Sus scrofa: one gene and its partners. The protein of the gene in region 1 interacts with the protein of each later gene in a pairwise test. Links are inferred from orthologs where the notes say so. Each region holds a gene or a part of one and is shown in the gene's direction. Other genes may lie near its edges. The genes, in order: TRIM37, PRC1, PNKP, FAM107A and FAM124B.

Evidence for each region.
Region 2: the proteins of TRIM37 (region 1) and PRC1 interact in binary tests that used the Homo sapiens proteins (3 or more experiments, as listed by UniProt). The link is inferred for Sus scrofa from reciprocal best matches to the Homo sapiens genes TRIM37 and PRC1.
Region 3: the proteins of TRIM37 (region 1) and PNKP interact in binary tests that used the Homo sapiens proteins (3 or more experiments, as listed by UniProt). The two-hybrid records come from large-scale screens. The link is inferred for Sus scrofa from reciprocal best matches to the Homo sapiens genes TRIM37 and PNKP.
Region 4: the proteins of TRIM37 (region 1) and FAM107A interact in binary tests that used the Homo sapiens proteins (3 or more experiments, as listed by UniProt). The two-hybrid records come from large-scale screens. The link is inferred for Sus scrofa from reciprocal best matches to the Homo sapiens genes TRIM37 and FAM107A.
Region 5: the proteins of TRIM37 (region 1) and FAM124B interact in a two-hybrid assay, tested with the Homo sapiens proteins (2 studies listed by BioGRID and IntAct). The link is inferred for Sus scrofa from reciprocal best matches to the Homo sapiens genes TRIM37 and FAM124B.

The regions. Positions count from the first base shown.
Region 1 is NC_010454.4:35,323,662-35,327,610, reverse strand, and holds part of TRIM37 (E3 ubiquitin-protein ligase TRIM37), read left to right. Parts: intron 1-241; coding exon 242-356; intron 357-1,818; coding exon 1,819-2,037; intron 2,038-3,355; coding exon 3,356-3,492; intron 3,493-3,949. UniProt on the Homo sapiens protein: E3 ubiquitin-protein ligase required to prevent centriole reduplication. Probably acts by ubiquitinating positive regulators of centriole reduplication.
Region 2 is NC_010449.5:55,889,878-55,893,826, forward strand, and holds part of PRC1 (protein regulator of cytokinesis 1), read left to right. Parts: intron 1-738; coding exon 739-834; intron 835-2,442; coding exon 2,443-2,589; intron 2,590-2,802; coding exon 2,803-2,913; intron 2,914-3,949. UniProt on the Homo sapiens protein: Key regulator of cytokinesis that cross-links antiparrallel microtubules at an average distance of 35 nM. Essential for controlling the spatiotemporal formation of the midzone and successful cytokinesis.
Region 3 is NC_010448.4:54,877,946-54,882,601, reverse strand, and holds the start of PNKP (bifunctional polynucleotide phosphatase/kinase), read left to right. Parts: upstream 1-1,787; 5' UTR 1,788-1,794; coding exon 1,795-1,919; exon of another isoform or gene 1,920-1,945; intron 1,946-2,199; coding exon 2,200-2,363; intron 2,364-2,969; coding exon 2,970-3,016; intron 3,017-3,600; coding exon 3,601-3,903; intron 3,904-4,656. UniProt on the Homo sapiens protein: Plays a key role in the repair of DNA damage, functioning as part of both the non-homologous end-joining (NHEJ) and base excision repair (BER) pathways.
Region 4 is NC_010455.5:40,366,569-40,371,295, reverse strand, and holds the start of FAM107A (protein FAM107A), read left to right. Parts: upstream 1-1,587; 5' UTR 1,588-1,864; coding exon 1,865-1,888; intron 1,889-4,727. UniProt on the Homo sapiens protein: Stress-inducible actin-binding protein that plays a role in synaptic and cognitive functions by modulating actin filamentous (F-actin) dynamics. Mediates polymerization of globular actin to F-actin. Also binds to, stabilizes and bundles F-actin.
Region 5 is NC_010457.5:126,124,723-126,129,398, reverse strand, and holds the start of FAM124B (protein FAM124B), read left to right. Parts: upstream 1-1,740; 5' UTR 1,741-2,175; coding exon 2,176-2,907; intron 2,908-4,676.

The DNA.
Region 1 (3,949 bases):
TAGTGCTATTTTTTTTTTAAAGTACACTTTGAGTTTAGACAGCTGACTTATAAATGACTTTTCAGAACCATGTGTCATTATAATTTGTGGACTGCACATATAAGTGGAAAATACCAGGAGCTCTGAGTTTGTTTTGAATTTTGGCCTTATAGCAAACTCATATAAATTTATATTTGTAGATTTATCATAATAGATTTAAGGCTTATCTTACTGTTTGAATTACTTTTCATGTGCTTTTAAGGTTTCAGGTTCGTTCACCAACTTTCTTTCAAAAATGCCGGGACCAGCATTGGTATATTACTCAGTTGGAAGCTGCACAGACTAGCTATATCCAACAAATAAATAACCTTAAAGAGGTAAGCAAAAAACATATATTTTAGGTTTACTGTTTTATATTGTCTACATTTGTAATTAGATTTTGGATATTATTGCTATTTTTGATTTTGTAGAATAATCCAGTTGTCTCATTCTTTTTTTTTTTCTTTTTTTTCTTTTTTGTTTTTGGGCACAGCCTCAGCATACAGAAGTTCCTGGGCCAGAGGGTGAATCTGAGCCGTATCTGTGACCTACGATGCCAGATCTTTAACCTACTGTGCCACAGCAGAAACACCTTAGTTGTCTTGTTCTTTATTCTTATAACCTTTTGAGTCTCCAATTCCAGACTGTCTGTTCAGTAGCCACGTATGGCCGTTTAGACTTAATCAAATTAAAATTTTAGTTCCTTTCTGTTCCGGCCATGTTTCAGGTATTGGGAACTGCAGATATAGACCATTTCCATCATTGTATAAAATTGTATGTACTATGCTGCTTTACTTTGAGGTAAACTTTTTCTCTCAGTGACGTGGGTATTTCTCTTCGCCATGCTGTCTCAAATTGAGAGGATTCTAAGCTATAGAACAATTGAAAATTGCCCCATATTCAGTTCTCAGTATTGTTGAATTGAGTGCTGGGGATGATCACTTAATGACTTGTTTGTTTGTTGTTTGTTTGTTTGGCTTGTTAGGGCCACCCTTGCATATGGAAGTTCCCAGGCTGGGGGTTGAATTGGAACTACAGCTGCCAGCCCATAGCACAGCACATCTGTGTCTGCAACCTACATCACAGCTCATGACAATACCAGATCCCCCCACTGGCAAGGCCAGAGATTGAACCTGCATCTTCATGGATACTAGTCGGATTTGTTTCCACTGCACCACAGCAAGAACTCCCTGACTTTTTATTTTACAATGGTAAACTAAATTGCATAAGGAATATTTCTTCCTACCAATGGATATTGGAATTGGATGAGGATTTTGAAGGGTTGAGGTGGTTAATACATGAGGAAGGAAAAATTTCATATTAAGTGTACTATTACCAGAAATTTTCATGTTAAGAATACTATTTAAAACTGCCTTATTTATTCCACAGTTTGCTAATTGTGTATATAGCTTGGGCTAGAAAAGAAAAGATGAGAATACATTGTGCAATTTTTCTTTGTCATAGATTTTTCCATAAGCAAAAGTCAGAAAGATATGAGATGGTTCAAGAAATGGTTTTGGAGTTCTCATTGTAGACCAGCAGGTTAAGGACCTGACATAGTCTCTGTGAGGATTCAGGTTCAATCCCTGGTCTTGCTCAGTGGGTTGGGGATCTGGTGTTGCTGCAAGGTGTGGTGTAGGTGCAGCTGAACTTTGATAAGCCACAGATGCAGCCATAATGAGAGAAAAACAATGGTTTTATGACCATTTGGATACATGTAGTTATTTTCATTTGAAATAATTTACTGTACTAGTGAAGCACTGCTTAATACTCACATTTGTATAATTCTTGTTTTAATAGAGACTTACTATTGAGTTGTCTCGAACTCAGAAATCGAGAGATTTGTCACCACCAGATAATCATCTTAGTCCCCAAAATGATGAAACTCCTGAGACACGAGCTAAGAAGTCTGGATCATGTGCTGACATGCTTCTCCAGGATTGTTCTACTACAGCTTCTGTAAGAGAGGTCAAAGAGGATGAAGAAGATGAGGAGAAGATTCAAAATGAAGATTATCATGTAATAATTAGACCCGTTCTAGATTTGTTTTATGTTTGAAAAGAAAAATGATACAGTGATTTCTAACATAGACTATAGGGGGAATCAATGTGCTGAAAATCTTGTTCATTTATATTTTCATTGTTAGTGTATACCCTCTGTAAGTCAGAAGTTGTAGAATCAAAAGTGTTTCTAGATTCCAATAATTTATAGAAAACTGTATATTCTACAAAACAAACTTTGGTGTATATTCTAGAAACTGTACAAATTGTGGCTTTTAAAAAGATGTCCAGTTTCCATTCATTGAATCTAAAAGCACCTTGTCATTGCATATGTAGGTAGAATGATTTAGGATTTGGGAGATAGCCAGATTTTGTTCCAGCTAAACAGCTAGAATGAGAATTCAGAAAGTGGTTGTTACTGTTTAAGGTAAGAGGGTGATGGAGAAATAAGCCTTTTTTGTTACAGCTGTTATTTGTAAGATGGGAGGCTTGGGGTATATGTTAGGAGCCATGAGGGAGAGAGATTGAAGATGAGTTCCAGGGTTTTGATAAAACAAAGTGTTTAAGGAGATAATAGAGGTTTGAATGGAGCACTCAGGTGAAGCAGTTAACCTTTAATAGAGTTAAAAGAACGGAGGAGTTTGCAGCTAGAGCAGCTAAAAGTCGGGGGCATTTGTGCTTAATAGCCAATATATTTTTCTGAGTAGATAGGTGATGGGGTTTTATAATTACCTGGAGGATTATAAAGGTTAGGCAGCCTTGAGGAGTGGTGGTTTGAAATGTTACTCTTTGAAGAGCCTTACTGGAAGCTGATATGGACGGTATGAAACATTTCCATTCACATCGAGGGCCCAGCTGAAACTGGCAGAAGTTAATTACTAGTGGTTACTAGGCAATGTGGTTGAGTGATTTATCTCTGCAGGGCTCAGCAATCCAGGCACAGGAGCAGAGTTTCTGATGATTATATTATTCTTTGGTGCTTGGTCCATGGGCTGGCTGGGACAAACTGAGTGAAAACATTTGAAATAGAAATCTTGTTTCTGGAGTTTCCGTTGTGGCACAGTGGTTAACGAATCCAACTAGGAACCATGAGGTTGCGGGTTCGGTCCTTGCCCTTGCTCAGTGGGTTAACGATCTGGCATTGCCATGAGCGGTGGTGTAGGTTGCAGACGCGGCTCGGATCCTGTGTTGCTGTGGCTTTGGTGTAGGCCAGAGGCTACAGCTCCCATCTGACCCCTAGCCTGGGAACCTCCATATGCCACGGGAGTGGCCCAAGAAATAGCAAAAAGACAAAAGAAAAGAAAAGAAAGAAATCTTGTTTCTTTGCCTTAACCTAGCATGAGCTTTCGGATGGAGATCTGGATCTGGATCTTGTTGGTGAAGATGAAGTAAATCACCTTGATGGCAGCAGTTCCTCTGCCAGTTCCACAGCAACAAGTAACACAGAAGAAAATGATATTGATGAAGAAACTATGTGAGTGTCTTACATTTACTACTGCTATAAATCATCTAAGTGGGAATTATTAGAAGCATATTAATTAAGTTGGGCTTAAAAGTGAGGATATTGAGGTTTTTTGATCAACACTATCTTACCTAAACAAACGAACTTGAAGGAAAGAGTGAATTAGTTTCTTTCCTCTCATCTCTGAGTTCCAAACCGAGTTACAGTTTTAACTTTTTTTTGGCTGCATCCACGGCATAGGGAAGTTCCCAGGCCAGGGATTGAACCCAAGCCAATGCAGCAACAGTGCTGGATCCTTAACCTGCTCCACCACAAGGAAATTCCTAGTTTTAACTTTTAATTTTGTAGTTATTTCATATTTAAGAAAAGTTGGAAAATTATAACAGACAATTCCTATACTTCCTTTGCCCAGATTAATTCCCTAAATGTTAATGTTTTGCTTTGTTATATTTCTCTCTTTTTTCTCTCT
Region 2 (3,949 bases), on another chromosome or scaffold:
GCTGCACCTGCAGCTTATGGAAGTTCCCAGGCTAGGGGTTGAAACAGAGCTGCAGCTGAAGGTCTTCACCACAGCCACAGCAACATAGGATCCAAGTCGCAGCTTGCACCAATGTTGAGTCTAAACCCATTGATTGAGGCCAGGGATCAAACCCCTGAGACAATGCTGGGTTCTTAACCCACTGAGCCACAGTGGGCACTCCCTGTCTTACTTTCTAGATTAAAAAAGAAACAGTAGTTTTCAAGCATCCCAGTATTTGATCTTTCATAGATCTGGGAGGGTTCACATGTCACTCCCTTGCCTTAGAAAGCCACCATTTCTCACTTTACTAAGAGTGGAAAGGAATGCAGAGCTCTCAGGTCTCTTTAAAAATATGTATCCATTTCTGAGAGTGAGGATTTTTTTTTTTTAATTTGTTTTTGGTCTTTTTAGGGTCACACCTAAGGCATATGGAGGTTCACAGGCCGGGGGGGGGCGTGAATCGGAGCTATAGCTACTGGCCTATGCCACAGCTACAACAATGCGGGATCCAAGGTGCATCTGTGACCTATACCACAGCTCACAGCAACGCTAGCTCCCTAACCCACTGAGTAAGGCCAGGGATTGAACCTGTTTCCTTGTGGATGCTAGTCAGATTTGTTTCTGCTGAGCCATGTGGGGAACTCCAATAGTGAGGATTCTTAGCAGAAGTGACTAGTCTGTCTGGGATTTACTCTAATTAAAATGTATTTTTCACAGAGAAAAGTTTCAGATCCAAGTCGATTTAGAAATCGTGGAGGAAATCTTCTAAAAGAAGAAAAGCAGCGGGCCAAGCTCCAAAAAACACTCCCAAAGGTAATATTGTTGCTAAAACAGTTTTTGGTGCTTGGATACAGAATATCTCACTTTTTGTCTATCCTTTGCATTGAATCATTTTGCTCCCTGTCTCCTCTTCCAAAGCTTAGGCTGGGATAATAACTATATATTGGGCCCTCCTAGTATAAGTAACCTGTTCTCAAGTTTCATTAGCTTTTCAGGGTTACCATATCAAAGTACTAGAGACTAGGTGGCTTTAACAACAGAAATGTATTTTCTCACCATTCTGGAGGCTAGAGGTCTGAGGTCAAGGTGTCAGCAGGGTCAGTTTCATCTGAGGCCTCTCTCTTGGCTGTAGCTAGTTGTCTTCTCCCTGTATCTTCACGTGATTTCCTTCTGTATGTGTCTCTGTCCAAATTTTCTTTTCTCATAACAGCCACTAGTCATGTTGGATTAGGACTCACCCTGAGGACCTCATTTTCACTTAATTACCTCCATGTCCAAACAAAGCCACATTCTGAGATGTTGGGGATTAGGACTCCAAATATGAGTTAATATGAATTTGGCAAGGGATATAATTCAGCCTATAACACAAAGTAACCTTTTGAGAAAATGTTTGGACTTCATTACTATGTTTTATTTAATTTTTTGCGGGGGGGGCCATCCCACAGCATATGGAGTTTTCAGACCAGGGATCCGATCAGAGCCACAGTTGTGACCTACACCACAGCTGTGGCAACTCTGGATCCTTAACCCACTGTGCCAGGCTGGGGATCAAACCTGCATCCCAGTGTGGCAGGGACGCCGCTGATGCTGCTGCGCTACAGCAGGAGCTCCACTGTTCTCTATTTTAATGATAATAATAGTTAGCATTTATTGAATGAATAGTTACTATTTCAAAGTACTTTCTTTCTTTTCTTTTCTTTTTTTTTTTTTTTTTTTTTTGTCTTTTCTAGGGCTGTACCCGTGGCATATGGAGGTTCCCAGGCTAGGGGTCTAATCAGAGTTGTAGCCGCTGGCCTACGCCACAGTCGCAGCAACGTGGGATCTGAGCTTCATCTGCAACCTACACCACAGCTCAAGGCAACGCCAGATCCTTAACCCATTGAGTGAGGCCAGGAATCGAACCTGCAACCTCATGGTTCCTAGTCAGATTCGTTAACCACTGAGCCACTATGGGAACTCCAGTACTTTCCATTTATTAATTTATTTAATCATCACAACATCTTTATGAGATTGAGATTGTTATTTCCAATTTTATAGATGAGGAAACTGAGGCACTGAGAACTTAAGTAACTTGCCCACCTTTTCATAGCCAGTAAGAGGTAGATTCCAGATTTGGAGCCCAGAGAGTGCTATTCTTAGTGTACACTGCCTACGTAACGTTGCCGGTCTCCCCCAGTGCCACCTCCAACTTCAGGCTCCAGAACTTCGTGGTCAGGCTCTGGGTTCTTAACTTTTCTGATCTTCAGGTGTATTATGAATGGACTAACCTAAGACTTTGATTTCTGGCCACTCCAACCTATTCCCATGTGGGTGCAGCTCCTGAAGCCAGGCTAATGATACTCTGGAGAGGGAGAATCATTTCTTTCTGGGCTTCACACCAAAGATTTGAAGTAATTAGTATGTCCTTGTTTCTGGTCTCAGCTGGAAGAAGAGTTGAAAACACAAATTGAAATGTGGGAACAGGAGCATGCAAAGGCATTTGTGGTGAATGGACAAAACTTCATGGAGTATGTAACAGAACAGTGGGAGCTGCATCGATTGGAGAAAGAGAAAGCCAAGCAGGAGAGAGTAAGTGAATCCTATTTGGGAAGAGGGAAGATAGTCATGTGTGAGCAGTCAAGTTGCTGCCAGGGCCTTGGGTTGGCTGCAGAAGTGGTAGCTCATGGCAGCTCTTTTTAGCTGTGGGTATAGAGATTTGCATGAGATTTCTGGCCCTGCCTCTCCTATCCCAGACTGTTTTCCTGCTGGGATTTATCACTGTTGCTTCTGACTTTCACACAGCAACTGAAGAACAAGAAGCAAACAGAGACAGAGATGCTGTACGGCAGCACTCCCCGGACACCCAGCAAGCGGCGAGGACTGGCACCCAGTACTCCGGGCAAAGTGCGCAAGGTAAACACGAGGCTTTGTGAACTGCAGTGTACAAGGCGTTTCTTTGTGAGGCTGGGGCTCTTGGCCATCTCTTTCCTTCTGTCGTGCAGAGATGGGAAAGGCTTTTTCTAGCCTTCCAGGTGGAGTCCATATGCGTGTGTGAGTGGAAGACAAGTTTAATCCTGAGTGGCAACTTGACACTTGACAGTCAAGGAGTAGAGCTAGTTTTGATGTGTGGCAGATGTGTGAAAGAAGACTTTCATGCTTAGCAAATGGAATACCTAATACTCCTTAGTCTCTAAAGCAGGAAAGCAGGGAGTTCTTCCTTCCTTCCTCCTTTCCTTTTTTTCTAAACCTTTTCTTTGATAAATGAAGTGTAGCATTATTTTCCTTTTCCTTTTCCTTCCTTAACTCATACTTTATAAACATATAGAATATTTTTAAAAAAATCACCTGTAATGTAACTCCAAGAGAACCAGTGAGAATATTTGGTGTTTTTCCTGCTTTTGTAAAAAGCTTTTCAAAATAGTGTATTTTTACAAAATACAGATCACATATAATTTTGATTTCTCCTTTTTCCCTACTTGATATTGGTTGTGACTTTTTTTTTCATAGCATCAAACTTTCTTCAAATACATGCTCATTATTAACTATATATTCTGTTCTTTTTTTATTACTCAATGAATTTATCACATCTGTAGTTCTATAATGATCCATCACAATCCAATTTCACAGGATTTCCATCTCGCAACCGAAGCACATTCCCCTACCCCCCAATATATTCTATTCTTTTGACATACTCTCATTTATTAAACTAGATCCCTATAGTTTGATATTAAGTAGTTTATTTTTTATTAGGAAAGTAATAATATGTTTGTTTTTTTTTTTTTTTAGGGCCACACTCGAGGCATATGGAAGTTTCCAGGCTAGGGGCTCAAATGAGGAAATTTTAAACATAAAATTCAATTCTAAAAAGGTTTGTTTACATTAAAAGTTTGAGAATCTCTTTATTAGACTCTGAGAATACAAAGATTAAGTGAGATGGCTTGATCTTAAG
Region 3 (4,656 bases), on another chromosome or scaffold:
GCTGGTGCTGCGGGAGGCGGAGGACACTCAGGTCTTCGGGGACCTGCCGCGGCCACGGCTCAACACCAGTGACTTCCAGAAGCTGAAGCGGAAATACTGAGGCCCAGGGAGGGAGCTTCCCGGCCCGGCGCCCGCCCCACCCAACACTACACCCCCGCCCCGCCTCCGGGACCTGCCAATCCGAGTCAGAGCTATGACCGGCCTCCCACGGTCCCTGGCCCCAGGATTGACCCGTCCCTGGTCCCTGCGGATCCCCACCGCCCTTCCGGCCCCCAGCCGCTCCAGCGCCTGTCCAGTTTCCCGATTGGGTCTGTCTTCTCTCCGCCCAGCGACAGATTCTTTCTATTAAGGGATTGGCGTGGTCCGGCATCAGGGCGCGGCCAGTTGACTTAATAGGTCAACTCTGTCGTTTTCTGCCTAGCAACAAGGGCTTTGCTCTCACGGCATTGGCTCCGTTCCCGAAAGAGCACAGTCAAGCTGCAGGATTGGGTAGTAGCCCTCCACTTCGCATAGTGAATGGGCAGTTCCTTCGTTTGATTGGCTTGAACACTGTAAAGGGCTTGACCAACATCCCAAGAGTCCTGTCCACCCCGAGTTACCCCACCTGATTGGCTCCAGCCTCCTGGGGGCGTGGCCAATCCCCTTTGCCCAGGATTGGCCTGTGGCCTTACATTTACAGTCTTTACACTACTGGGGCTGGGGTCGTTTTTTGGCTCAGTCCTGACAATTGTCCCTCTGGCCCCCTCAAGGATGGCCTAATCCTGTTCCTGCGTCTGACACCCTCTCATTGGTTTTATCACAACTGCCTGCCAATCAAAACCCGTCCTTGTGTCCAGGACGTTACCAGCTCCCGCCCCTCTCCCCCCACCCCCACAGGTGCCTTAAAGGGCCCTCGTCCACCCAAGGTGGAGGGCAGGGGGCCTCACTCTCCGGCCCTGGTGTGGGGGAGAGAATGGGGGGTCGGGATCAGGAGTTGAGAGGGGCGCTCCGAGATTAAAGAGTTTTACCTCTGACAAATGACTATGAGGTGTGTTGTGTTATTCAACATTTTCTGAAGCCAAATGAGCAGTGTCTCATTGCTTCTCAGTGCAAAGCTGCGAATTAAACTAATTGTGCCTATTTTACAGACAAGATAATGGAGATTCGCGGGGTAGGAGGAAGGATTCCAGTCCTGTGTAGTCATTGATTCCCACTCTTCAGGAGTGTGAGTGTTGGGAATAGTTTAAGGAACTACAGTTCCTGAGTGCCCAGGAAAGCCAGGAACCTCCAGCTGACGCCAGGAGTTTTCTGACTATTCTAAGTCAGCTGGTGGTTACAGAGCAATGGCGCCAGACCTGAAGATGGGGCCAGGTCCAGTAAGCGTGGAATACCCATCTCCCATCAGACCACCATGGGTGGAATGTTAACAGACGAAACTTAAACCGAGCCAACTACCACCTAGAAACTTTTCTGAAGTATTTATATGTACTAACTCCTTTCATCTTTCTAGTAACCCTGCAACGTGGAAAGGATTATCCCCACTTTGCAGATGAGGAAACTGCAGCATGAGGGTAGGTGTGTGTTGGGGCAGGGTTTCTTCGACTGCCAATAGTCAACAAAGAGGAAGGATAACTTCCCGCTGTAACTGTCCAGCAAGGGGAATGAAAACGAGAGTTTAGCGTGGAAAGAGGAAAATCTGTGGAGACCCCCTTCCCCCTACTGGCCTGAGCCTCACCCTGCAGCAGGAGAGATGAAGGTCAGAGCCGCAGAGGGACTAGAGAGGCCCCGGGACCGCTAAGAGGCGGGGCTTACGTCATGGGCGGGACCAACGCCCCGCCCACTTTAGTAGGCGAGTCATTTCCGTCCGCGGAGAAACGGAGAAAGCTGCAAGGCGAGTTGCGGGCCAGGCGCCTCGGGCGGGATTTCCTTGGTTGGAAGTGGTGAGTGAGCCAAGCAGCGGGCAAGGGTGAGCAAAGGGTTGAGGCGGGAGTTCATGAGTTTCTCGGCCTTTGCCCTGGGAAGTAGGAGTCGGGGCTCTGGGAGGGACGAAGCGGGGAGTCGTCGCCTGGGAAACGGCGCGAGCCCCAAGCCGGAGAGCGGGTGGAATTTCCTGAGCCATTCGCGGAAGAAGAGAATTCCTGGTGGAGCGGCCGAGGAGGCGGGACTTCCTGTAGCAATCTGCGGGCTGCCACTCAAACCTATTTACCTACTTCCCTTTAGGCCGGCTTCCAGGATGGCCAAGGTGGAGGCCCGGGGCCGCCTGTGGCTGGAGAGCCCCCCTGGGGGAGCACCTCCCATCTTCCTGCCCTCCGACGGGCAAGCCCTGGTCCTGGGCCGGGGACCCTTGACTCTGGTTACCGACCGGAAATGCTCCCGAAACCAAGGTGGGCGAGGGCGGGGCCTGAGCCGGAGGGGGTGTGGCCTGCTTCAGAAGCGGGAACACAATCAATGGGAAAGACCGAGAGTTAGTCCGGGGAGGGATGTGCTTGGCCCCCAGGCCGAATCGCGTGGTGCAGCTAGTCCTGAAGTTGGCAAGTGCCCTCCGGGGAGCACAGAAGGGAAAGGTGGTGCCTGACCCCACCTGGAACTAGCCAGATAACTCGGGCTTGAATCCGGCCACCACCTTGTCCAGGAGAGAGCCGATCCTATGAAGAAAAATGCATATTGCTGAGCAGAGATGGGTGGTAGCAGGCCAAGCCCAGGACTTGCATCTCGTCAGGTTCCTGCGTTGTCAAGGAGAAACCAATGCTATACAGAAAAACACCTGCCTTGCCCCTAGGCGAGGACCGGTGTCACAGGCTATCCTAAGGCCATTATCTGGCTACTGCATATCGAGGAGTGAGCCAAACCTACTTAGAAATAAACCACCTCCTCCTGCTGAATGGGTGTTGTAGCCCCATCCTGTGGCCTGAAGCAGGCCACACTCCCCAGTAGGGAAGGAAACAATCACCGAAAGATTCAGATCCCAACTCCACCCCCTCAATCCTCAGTGGAGCTGGTTGCAGACCCTGAGACTCGGACCGTGGCAGTGAAACAGGTACCAGTTCGTTGGCAAGGGGCAGCAGGCCTGGGGGTGGGGCGGGGTGGGGGGGTCGAAGGGTAGGAACAGCTGGGGAAACTGGCCCATCGAGAAAATCTAACTGCCTGGGAGGGGAGGAGGTCTGGCCTCTTTCAGTGGGGTAAACTTTCATCCCCATTTAAATTGGGTAAGACTAGGAATTCCCCTTGTGGCTCAGGAGGGTAAGGATATGACGTCGTCTCTGTGGGGATGTGGGTTCCATCCCCGGCTGTAAAGGATCCAGCGTTATTGTAAACTACGGCCGTAACTCCGCAGATGAGACTGGGATCCGGCGTTGCTATGGCGCTGTGGCCTAGGCCTCCGCTATGGATTCCACTCCTTCCATGTGCCGCAGGTGTAGCAGTCAAAGAAAAAAAACAAAATTGGTTAGGACTGGATGCGTATTACCTTCCCAATGCCCTGATTGGCGGTACACAGTGAAGAGGTGGAGCTTAAGGGTCTGATTGGCTGATGGAGAAAGGAAGGCCTTTTTGAGGTTATTTGATTGGATGAGGTTACTGGTGGGGTGGAGCCTGTACCAGCACCTCCCTCTTTCTTTGCAGCTAGGAGTTAACCCCTCAACTGCTGGAGCCCAAGAGCTGAGGCCGGGGTTGGAGGGCTCTCTAGGGGTGGGGGACACGTTGTATTTGGTCAACGGCCTCCACCCGTTGACCCTGCGCTGGGAAGAGGCTCGCACTCCAGAATTGCAGCCAGACACTCCACCTGGCACGCCTCCTGTGCCCCCACACGAGGAGGAGGAAGAGGCTGAGCCGCCGAAAAAGCAGATGCGGAAGTCATCTCCTGGCTGGGAGAGCTTTGAGAAGCTACTAGTATTCACAGCACCTGGTGTGAAGCCGCGGGGCAAGGTGAGGCCCGAGCTGAGGATTGCGGGGTTCATTGTCAGCATTGGGAAAATCGATGCATGTCAGCTCCTGCCCCACCCACAGTAACCACCCAGTAACCATAGCCATTGGTCATGATCATGTTGGCGGGAGTTATGATGAGTATTTCTTAGGTCAGAGAGGCGAGTTCAAATGCTGTTACACTGGAGTTCCCGTTGTGGCTCTGCGGGTTAAGGACCCATCCGTTGTCTCTGTGAGGATGAATGTCCAATCCCTGGTCTTCCTCGGTGGGTTAAAGATCTAGCATTGCCACAAGCAGTGGCATAGGTCCCAGATGTGGCTCCGTTCCTGAGTTGCTGTGCCTGTGGCGTAGGCCGGCAGCTGTAGCTCCAGTTCAATCCCTAGCCCAAGAATTTCCATATGCTGCAGGTGCAGCCCTAACAACAACAAAAAAAAGGCTGTTACACCATGTTCTTTGAGCCCCACTTCTCTCATCATACGAGGAATCCACAAAAAGCAGTCCCTGATGTGCACTAACCGCCAAAACAAAACTTAGCTCCTGGTTTTATTTCATGGTTATTAGCCCATTAGCCCTCCGCGGTGGAAAAGGTCAGGGGGGGAGGCTGGGTCAGATTTAAAGCCCCCCCCCTTTTGGCTTTTTAGGGCCGCACCCACGGCATATGGAGGTTCCCAGGCCAGGGGTCGAATCAGAGCTGTAGCCGCTGGCCTACGCCACAGCTACTCGGGATCTGAGCTGCATCTGCGACCTACACCACA
Region 4 (4,727 bases), on another chromosome or scaffold:
AGGGATCGAACCTGCAGCTTCATAGATACTTGTCAGATCGTTTCTGCTGCGCCACAATGGGAACTCCATCCACCAATATTTATTGAATGACAGCAATGTGCCCAGCACTACTTGAGTCACAGGGGGTAAACTGATGAACAAGACAGACTACGTCTCACTTTTGTGGGGCTGCCATTCCAAGTGGGGAAGCGCAATGATAAACACAGAAATAGTATCATCCCCGTTTCTGATAAGTGTGGTGACAAAACAACAGAGAACCCAGGAGGCTATTTTGCATAGAGAGTCAGGGAAGGCTTCTCTGAAGAGGTGAAACATGAGCCTGATGATAAAGAGGAAAGACTCATGCAAAGATCAAGAATGGAGTCAAGGGAGATAGGACAGATTTCAGGCAGAGAGAACAGCAAGTGCAAAAGTCCTGAGGTAAAGGGGGTGGTGGTATGGCCAGGAACTGTCAGGGAGAGAGGGATGTTGGGCCAAGGTCTGAGGGGAAAGAAAGGTTGGATAGATGAGACCTTGAGAACCATGGGGGATTCCATTCTATGGGCAAAATCAGATCTAGAACACCTAATATTTGCCTCTTCACCCCCAACTATCACTTCATAAATCATCAATTTGTGTCATAAACCATCACTGTGCCAGGCACTGTGCTGGAGGAAAGGGAAGGGTTTCCCCACCCACCCAGCTCTTGGGGAACAGCGTTGTGCTTAAACTAGTTTCCTGGGACTTGCCAATGGGCAGTGGGTTAATCACCAGTATCACAACCAACATAATAGCAGCACCTAAATTCTACGGGGAATCCTCTGCTCAGCTTTACATGAATGACCTCATTTCATCCTCACAGCCCCGTAGGCTGGGGCCGTTGTCATCCTGCTTTAGCCAAGAGGAAGATTATAAAACGGGGAATGACGTGATCAGATTTATGCTTTAACGAAACAAAGGCTTCAGCTGTACCCACCTTCCCTTTCAAACCTCACAGCAGCCCTGTGTGCTGATTATATGACCCCACACACACAAGAGGAAGGACCTAAGGCTCAGAGAGGTCAAATCATGGGAGGAATAGAGCTATGACTCCAGCTCAAGGTGACTCCGGCCTTAACCTTGCCCCACGCTGGCAACATAGAGAAGCAAGTGGGTGAAAGCAAGGAGGAGGCCGACTGCTGGGGGACGTTGAGAACTTGGCCCCGGGCCTGGAATCTGGCCTCCAGATATTTTCCTGGCCTGAGCCCAGACCAGCCACCCTCTGGCCCTCCCCGCCTGGACCGTTGCCCCGTGGAATGAAGTGTGCTGCTCTCTCTGTCTCTGTGCGGGGAGAACCCCGGGCCCGAGTGCCTTCTAAGATCTATTATTCATGGGGCCGAGCAGCCCTGGGCTTCATGGCCCCACACAAGCCCTCCGATCCCCATGCCGCGACAGCCCCACGCAGCCCCTTCTCTCTCATCTGGGGGCGAGAAGGTCAAGGCGCGCCCTCTGGACCTGCCAGGGGTCACTCGCGGCGCCTGAGCTGCCGACTGTGGCTGCGGGGTGAGAGGACGGTTTTGCTTCTCAATGACGCCGGCTGCCTCTGTCTCTCTTCCCCGAGAGGGGCAGGGGTGCAGGAAGCGAGGAGCTACAGGGACCCGGGGAGGGCATGTGGCTGCCTGGGGACACCGGGCCCCTCCGTCAGGATCAATCACCCTAAGCCTGTCTGAGGAGCTGCCGGCTTAAGAGCAGCTGTGAAAGCTGCCTTTGTGCCTGAGGAGAATGAGCCACGAGAGGACTGGGGACCCCGGGAACCCCTCGGACCTCGGCTCCTGAGATCAGCGCTGCAGAGAGGACTCCAGCCCGGCCCCCAGGGTCCAGCCAGGCTGGGTGTCCACGTCATACCATGGGAGCTGCCCAGGGGAAGAAGGTAGGAGCTCCCAAGGGTCCTGTGGGGGCCCTGGACACGGGAGGGGGCTGCATCTATCAGGTGGGAGTCCTCACACAGCACCCACCAGCTCCTTGGAGCCTCAGCCAGGCACTGCCCGCCCACCTCCCTCCCTGAGCTCACAGAAAAGATTTGCATCTAGAAACCTGGCTGGGGCTCAGGGCAAGGCCAGCCTCTGATCCTTCCATCTCTGAAACAGACTTCCTGGTCTTATACTCACACACCCCTTTACTGCCCTGCTACAGGCTCCCTAACCAACCCCTGCCACCACCACAAACAACCACCCCCAGCCTCGGTTCAGGTGGATGCAGAGTCAAGGAAAAAAACCAATGATCACTGTAATTAAGCTGGCTAACCAACTGTCACCAGGTGTGGTAAAGCTGTGGGCAAATGATTGATGCTCTCTGTGACTCATTTCGTCATCTGTGAAGTGGGGACAATAGTAATCCCTACCTTAGAGGCCGGCAGTGAGAATTTAAAGATGTGAAGTGTTTGACAGAGTGCCTGGCCCAGAGTGGGCTATATACAAGCTGTGATCTGTTGTTAGCAGGACTTTCATGTTATTTCTCATCACCTTCTCAGTCTGGGATCTCACTTGGGAAGGTTATAGCATAGTCAGTGCAGTATTCCTTGGAGTGTGGGAGGGGGCTTGTCAACAGTCACCTTCTCAGGCTGACATCAGAGTCTCTGAGGAGGGACTGGGATTCTGAGTCTATTCACCTGCTTTCAGGGGGCTCACAGCCCATACCGACCACAACTGTGATCCCAGCAGTGAGGTCAGGCTGCCCAGGTCCCAGCTCATCCACCTACTTACTGTGAGGAACTAAGCCTCTCTGGATCCCAGCTCATTTGTAAAGTGGAGCTGGTACCCATCTCGTGGGAGGTTCCATGAAACGTCGCCCTTCAAGCACTTATGATGCTGCCTGACAAGCAGAGAGCCTGATACCACAGAGGCTCTAATCCTCAAACAAGTCATGATGCGTTAAAGGCAGGGAACTGAGGCTCAGAGGCAAGACGTGATTTCTTAGCCAGGGTCATGCAGCTAGAGGAGAAAAGGGAAGGATTTTGATCCCCTTCTGCTTGACTCCAAACTTATGGCCAACCCAGCCCATCCTACATTTTTCAGATTTGGAGACAAACACATCATGGACCACAAGGAGGAAGCACTCCGGACTTCAATTTCCCCATTTGCAGAAATGGGAGTGTTAGGCTAGAGGACCCCTAAGGGCGTTCTAGTGCTGGCTTCTGCTTTCCACCTCCCTTGCTTCATATGCAGAGTCAGGCCTGGAAATTTCTGCCTCCCTTCAGCATCCCCAAAAACATCTCCCCCTGAAAACTTGATTATCCTGGGGCTGGCACTTCCCCCATGCAATGCTTACTCCTGCCTGCAGGGGTCAGTGTGGGTCAGCTGCAGTCAAGGCAGGTGGTGACCTGACACAGCCTTTGGGAGTCCCAAAGATGCCTTCCCAGCCAAGCCTTGAGCCCCGGCCCTAACCAATCCCCACTTTCAGGAGCACTGTTCCTGCTCCTTCTCTCTGCCAGAAGAGAATGAACTCAGCCTCTAGACCCTATCTGTGCTGACCATGAAGGTGGAGAGTCATCTTGGAGACCAGCTTCCCAAACCTAGAAAAGACCCTAACAAGGTCTAGCAAAATATACCTTGAGTACCACCTCCCTATTCTCTCACATGTGGCAGACATCACAAATTGATCCCTGCACATTTTCCCACTAAGTCTAGAGAGCCTCACTGTCCTCAATACAGCAAACCGGGACTCCCCTAACAGTCAGTCAGAATTAGCCCCCAGGTTGAAAGCCATGCTATCCATGGGCCCAGTCCCTTCCCACGCCTTCTGGGAAAAGCCCTCCCAGAGAGAAAGCAGCAGGGAACTGTGATAGGAACGGGAGCTTTAGAGTCAGCCAGATCTGAGTCAGTTCCTCCACATCCTCGTTACCTTGGGCAAGTCACCACACCTCTCTGAGTCTCATATTCTACTTCAATAAATGAAAGATAATAGGAGTTACCATTGTGGCTCAGTGGTAACACACCTGACTAGGATCCATGAGAACGCAGGTTTGATCCCTGGCCTCTCTCAGCAGGTTAAGGATCCAGCATTGCCATGAACTGTGGTGTAGATAGCAGACATGGCTTGGATCCCAAGTTGCTGTGGCTGTGGCATAAGCCAGCGGCTATAGCTCCAATTCAACCCCTAGCCTGGGAACCTCCATGTGCTGCAGGTGCAAAAAGACAACAAAAATAAAAAATAAACAAAAGATAATAATCCTCCTCAGATTGTTGTAAAACCTAAATGATAGCATGCCTGGGAAGAAATAGGCACATATGCAATATAGTCTCTTCCTGAAGTGGACCCTCTCTTAAGTGCATCCTCTTCTGAGCCTCACAAGTCTTCTTTTGAGCCAATGAGGGCATCCATATCACACCCAATGGCTGATGAAAAAGCTGAATCCCAACAGACATAACTTCCCCAGCTTCTCAGTGGTGAACCATCAAGGAGCAAAGGCTGTGAGCGAGCTAGGTCAGGCTCTCTCTGAGCGATCCTTCATCTGTGAACCACCCCCACCCAAAGCCCCATGTGCCCACCTCTCTTTCTCTTTCTGGAGGCAACAGCCCCACTGGCCTCTGGGTGATGTGTAACAGGCTTGCTGTGCAGAATGTAATCACCCTCACCCTTGCATTTCTTCTCCCACTGGCTTGTCCTGTAAAGTTCTCAGATCCGACCCACAGTTATGGTTTGTTTGTTTTTTATTACTCAATTTATTACATTTATACTTTTACAATGATCATCACAATCCAATCTTATAG
Region 5 (4,676 bases), on another chromosome or scaffold:
AGAATTATACCTTAAAAAAACTGTAATGATCTTTGGAAAGTTGAAGCAAGATGAATTTCATTACTGACTCACTGATGGTAATTAAAAAACAATTTATCTGTTATAAATTTTACTTATAGATTTTTTTTCCAGTGCAAATGTGTAAGACTTATGAAACGCAAGTGATTACAAGTGTAGGCTGGATTTAGAAGAGATTGGACTAGAAATGACTCCCTTCCACGGATAACAATATTTGATGCTAAATTTAGTTCTTATACTACTTCTTTTTGATCATTTTTTTAGGGCCACACTGCAGCATATGGAGGTTCCCAGGCTAGGGGTCTAATCAGAGCTACAGCTACCAGCTTATACCACAGCCACAGCAACTCAGGATCCGAGCCGCATCTTCAACCTACACTGCACCTCATGACAACGCAGGATCCTTAACCTACTAAGCGAGGCCAGGGATTGAACCCATGTCCGCATGGATACTTAGGGTTTGTTACCACTGAGCCCCAGTGGGAACTCCTGATTCTTTTACTATTAGGGCAATAAACATATATAAAATAAAGTTAGGGAGTTTCCCTTGTGGCTCAGCAGGTTAAGGACCTGACGTTGTCTCTGTGAGGATGCAGGTTTAATTCCTGACCTTGCTCGGTGGCTTAAGGATCAGGTATGGCTGCAAGCTGTGGCATAGTTCACAGATGTGGCTCAGCTCTGGCGCTGCTGTGGCTGTAGCGTAGGACAGCAGCTGCAGCTCTGATTCAAACCCTAGCCTAGGAAATTCCTCATGCTGTGGGTGCCACCATAAAAAGAAAAAAAATGAGTAAGTTATATTTCTCATCCCAAAAGTGCCTTTTAATTTATAAAAAGTAAAGTTACACCATGTTTCATGATAAGCATCAATAAACTGCTTATTTTAAGAATTACATTTGGAAAAATGTGCTTGTCTACATTTTTAGAAGCACAGCTATCAAAATAGCAAATGATTTTTAAATGGATATTTACAGCCCATTAGGGTGAGTGTTATGTTTAGAGCTTGGATATTCTTACTGGAGATTATTCAGTTAAGATTCAGCAGCAACACAGAATTCTGGGAAATGTGTGTCCTTAGCTAGAACTTGCCTGGGCATCTTTTCGTTATGCTAAGGATGCCCAGTCCAGGACATCTGGGTCCCAGAGAGGTACCTCCTCTCTGGTTCACGGGGGAGTGGGGGGGGGTCACTCAGTTCCTGGGTTCGATCTTTCCTTGGTCACTTCTTAGCTGTGACATCTTGGGCAAATTATTTGGCTTTTCTATGCCTCAGTTTCTTCCTCAGTAATTGGGGGATCATCGTTTTGCTGGAGGACTAAATCAGTTTATGTAAAGCTCTAGAGCAGTTTATGATCCATACGTAGTAAATCCTCAATGGACATGAGCAATGATTGTTATTGACATTGGAAAGCTCTCACTCTAAAGAATGGGTGTGAACAAATGTCTGTTGTGCAGAGTAAATTATTTTCAGACTTCGCAGCAGAGTAAATTGTTTTCAGTTAAACGGTCAAAATTACTGAGGTAAAACAGCTTCTCTCCAACGCCCTGGCATCAATTGTTCAAGCATCAAATAAAAAAAACAAAGGGTGAAAAAATCCTGGCAAGGGGACAAGTTTTGAGAATTGTTTTCAAGCAGTCATTGTGTTCAGGTGGCCTGGAGGCTACTGTAAACACGGGGACGTAGGGAGGAAATCAGAATCCATTGTGGGTCCATGAAGTGGATGTCTTTCCAACCAACCAGATTGCTATCAGCCTCACAGAGCCGACTGTGTTCCTTTCTGCCTGGTCATTTCCTTTACTGAGCGTCTGTAAGAACCACCCATCCCCGGTGTTTCTCAGGATTATAGGTTTTTAGGTCAAACAGAAACCCTGGGAGCGCCCGAAAGAGCCCCGCACACGCAGTTACATTATCCACCTGCTGGATGACACTGACCCCGCTACTGCGGTGTGTCGGGGAGGCTGCTGTGCCTGAAATTTGTGGGGATTCTCTCAGTGTGGCTGGAGGCAACCAGCAGCACAGGGTAAGGGCTGGGCTCTGAAGTCCTGAAGCTTTCCCTGTGGGCAGAAGGCTGCGCTGGGAACCGCCCGCCCCTCCGTTCCTTTCAGAAGCTGGACCAGCGTGCCCTCCCCGCTGGCATCCTTTGTCATCCTTGGAGTCCACGATGGAAGAAACACGGGAGCCTCTGGCCATGACTGTCCACCTCCTTGCCAACTCTGGGCATGGCTCACTTCTGCAGCAAACCCTGGACCAACTCCTGGACTGCATTTGCCCAGAGGTCCGTCTCTTTCTGGTGTCCGAGCGGGTCAGTCCGGTGAAATACTATGACAAGTGCCACTCCAGGCGGTCACGATTCCCGGGGATGTCTGTTTTGCTCTTCCTGCATGAGAGCCTCGGGGAGGAGCGGCTATTTCGCGTTCTGGACTCCCTCCAGCATTGGCCATGGCAGTGCTACCCTGCCCAGAACGTGCAGGGAAGACCGTGCCCCTACATTCTCGCCAGCCAGGAATTCTACAGTCTGGACCACCAGATGCCCGTCTGGGGAGTGAGGCAGGTGCACGGTGACACCGAGATCCTGAGAGTGACGCTCTATTGCAGCTTTGATAACTACGAGGATGCCATCCGGCTGTATGAGATGATCCTGCAGAGGGAAGCCACCTTGCAGAAGAGTGACTTCTGTTTCTTTGTGCTCTACGCCACCGAGAGCTTTACTCTGCAGCTCTCCCTGAAGCAGCTGCCCCTCGGAATGGCGGTGGACCCCAAAGAGGCTTCGGTGTTGCAGTTCAAGGTTCAAGAGATTGGCCAGTTAGTGCCTCTCCTGCCCCATCCTTGTGTCCCCATCAGCCGCACCCGCTGGCAAACACAGGACTATGATGGCAACAAGATTCTACTTCAGGTATTTCTGTCTGGCCTCTCTGACTTCTAGATACACGTGGAACGGTGATTTCCCATGGGAGAGATGGTGTAATGTCCTGGTTCTCACGTGCTTCTCAACTTTGGTTGCACATCAGAATTTCTGGGTCGTTTTCAAATATTCCTGGGCAATGGCTGCACCCCAGGTCCATTAGATTAGACTCTTTGGGGGTATTTCTCAAAAAGCTCCTTGGATAGTTCTAATATACAGGTTGTAGCATGGTTGAGAGTCACTGATTTAATTAAACCTCATCTGACAGATCAGGAAGTTCAGATTCTGTGAGCTGGTAGCTTACACAAGTAGTTTGGAATAGAATCAGACAATACTCTCTTTGTCAGATTTTCCTTTAGTCATACTCCTCAACTATACGCAAATACTGTGTGCACTCTTTGGGTTCAGAAATATCTTGAGTTTTTTCCATTTGGACCTAAAGACGTTGAAGTTGTAATTATGGTTGGGGATATTAAGTATGCAGTCCTGTTGACTTAATTTTTAAGCATCCTGCATCACTGTCCAATTTTACCCCTAATCAAATTAGTTGGTTAGAAGCTTTCAAAAGAAAATTTTGAAATGAAAGCATCCTATTGAACGCAAACGCAGTCATGAGATCTACCAGGAGTCTTTTCTTACAATGTATCACATGGCAGTTGAGCCTTGCCATTTAGTAGCTGCTTTGATTTGAAGACTTGGTTTTTTCATTAGCACAATGAGAGTAATATTAGCATCTTCCTAGAATATAGATTGTTATCTACATTAAATGTTTTAACACTTATGAAGGGTTTAAGATAAGGCCTAGAATGCACTCTGAGATTTTACTGCTTGTATTATGTCCCAGGCTAAGTATTTCACATTGATTATTTTATTTAGTCCTTCTTATAACCTAGGAAGTTTTGCAGAAGGGGAAACTAAGGGAAAACTGGGGTAACAAGATCAGTTATTTATCTCAGACACAAGAGGAAATGTTTACCTGATTCCAAAGCCAGGTAGGTGACCACTGCAGTCTAGTGGTGTGTGTGTGTGTGTGTGTGTGTGTGTGTGTGTGTGTGTGTGCGCGCGCGTGTGCACACACGCACAGGCAGAGAGGTGTATGTGATAGTCACAGCAAAATTTCTGTGGCTTCCCACCTTGAGAAATGGCTAGAAACCCCTTTAAGGCCTTTTGGATAAAGTAAAAACAGGCAAAAGATGAATTATCTTTCCTTTAGATTAATTTTGTTGTCATCAGCTTTGAGCTATTAATAAAATATGAGTCATTTTGATTCTATATGAAATGATCTCTAAATTATTTACCTTCTTATTCACTTAAGGCAGACAGGCACTGTTTCTGTTAGTTGCCTGTTACATAACTCACTAATTTCCAAGGCATCTAGAGTTTTTCCTTCAGCCTTAATCTCCAGAATTTAAACCTCACTGTCAAGCAAAAATTTAATATGTGTGTGCAGCAGGGGATGCATTTTTAATCCTTTATGTTTTAAAAACTAACTGACATTTTCACTTCTGAACCACAGCTTACACAGCTTAATTACTTTGGGAAGTTAAGTCAAATCTGGGGTGTGCAGTATAGTTTTTGTTTTGTTTTTTTTTGAAAAAAAATGTCAATGTGTCTAGGATTTGCAAACAAAACGGGGGATTACCTTCTGGAAACTTCTGTTTCTGGTGTCATTAAAAAATCCCTGAAGAAAGCATATATAAAGGCCTGCCTATAATATAGCATGAAAGGCAACACATTGTAGCTACTTCAATCCTACAGTG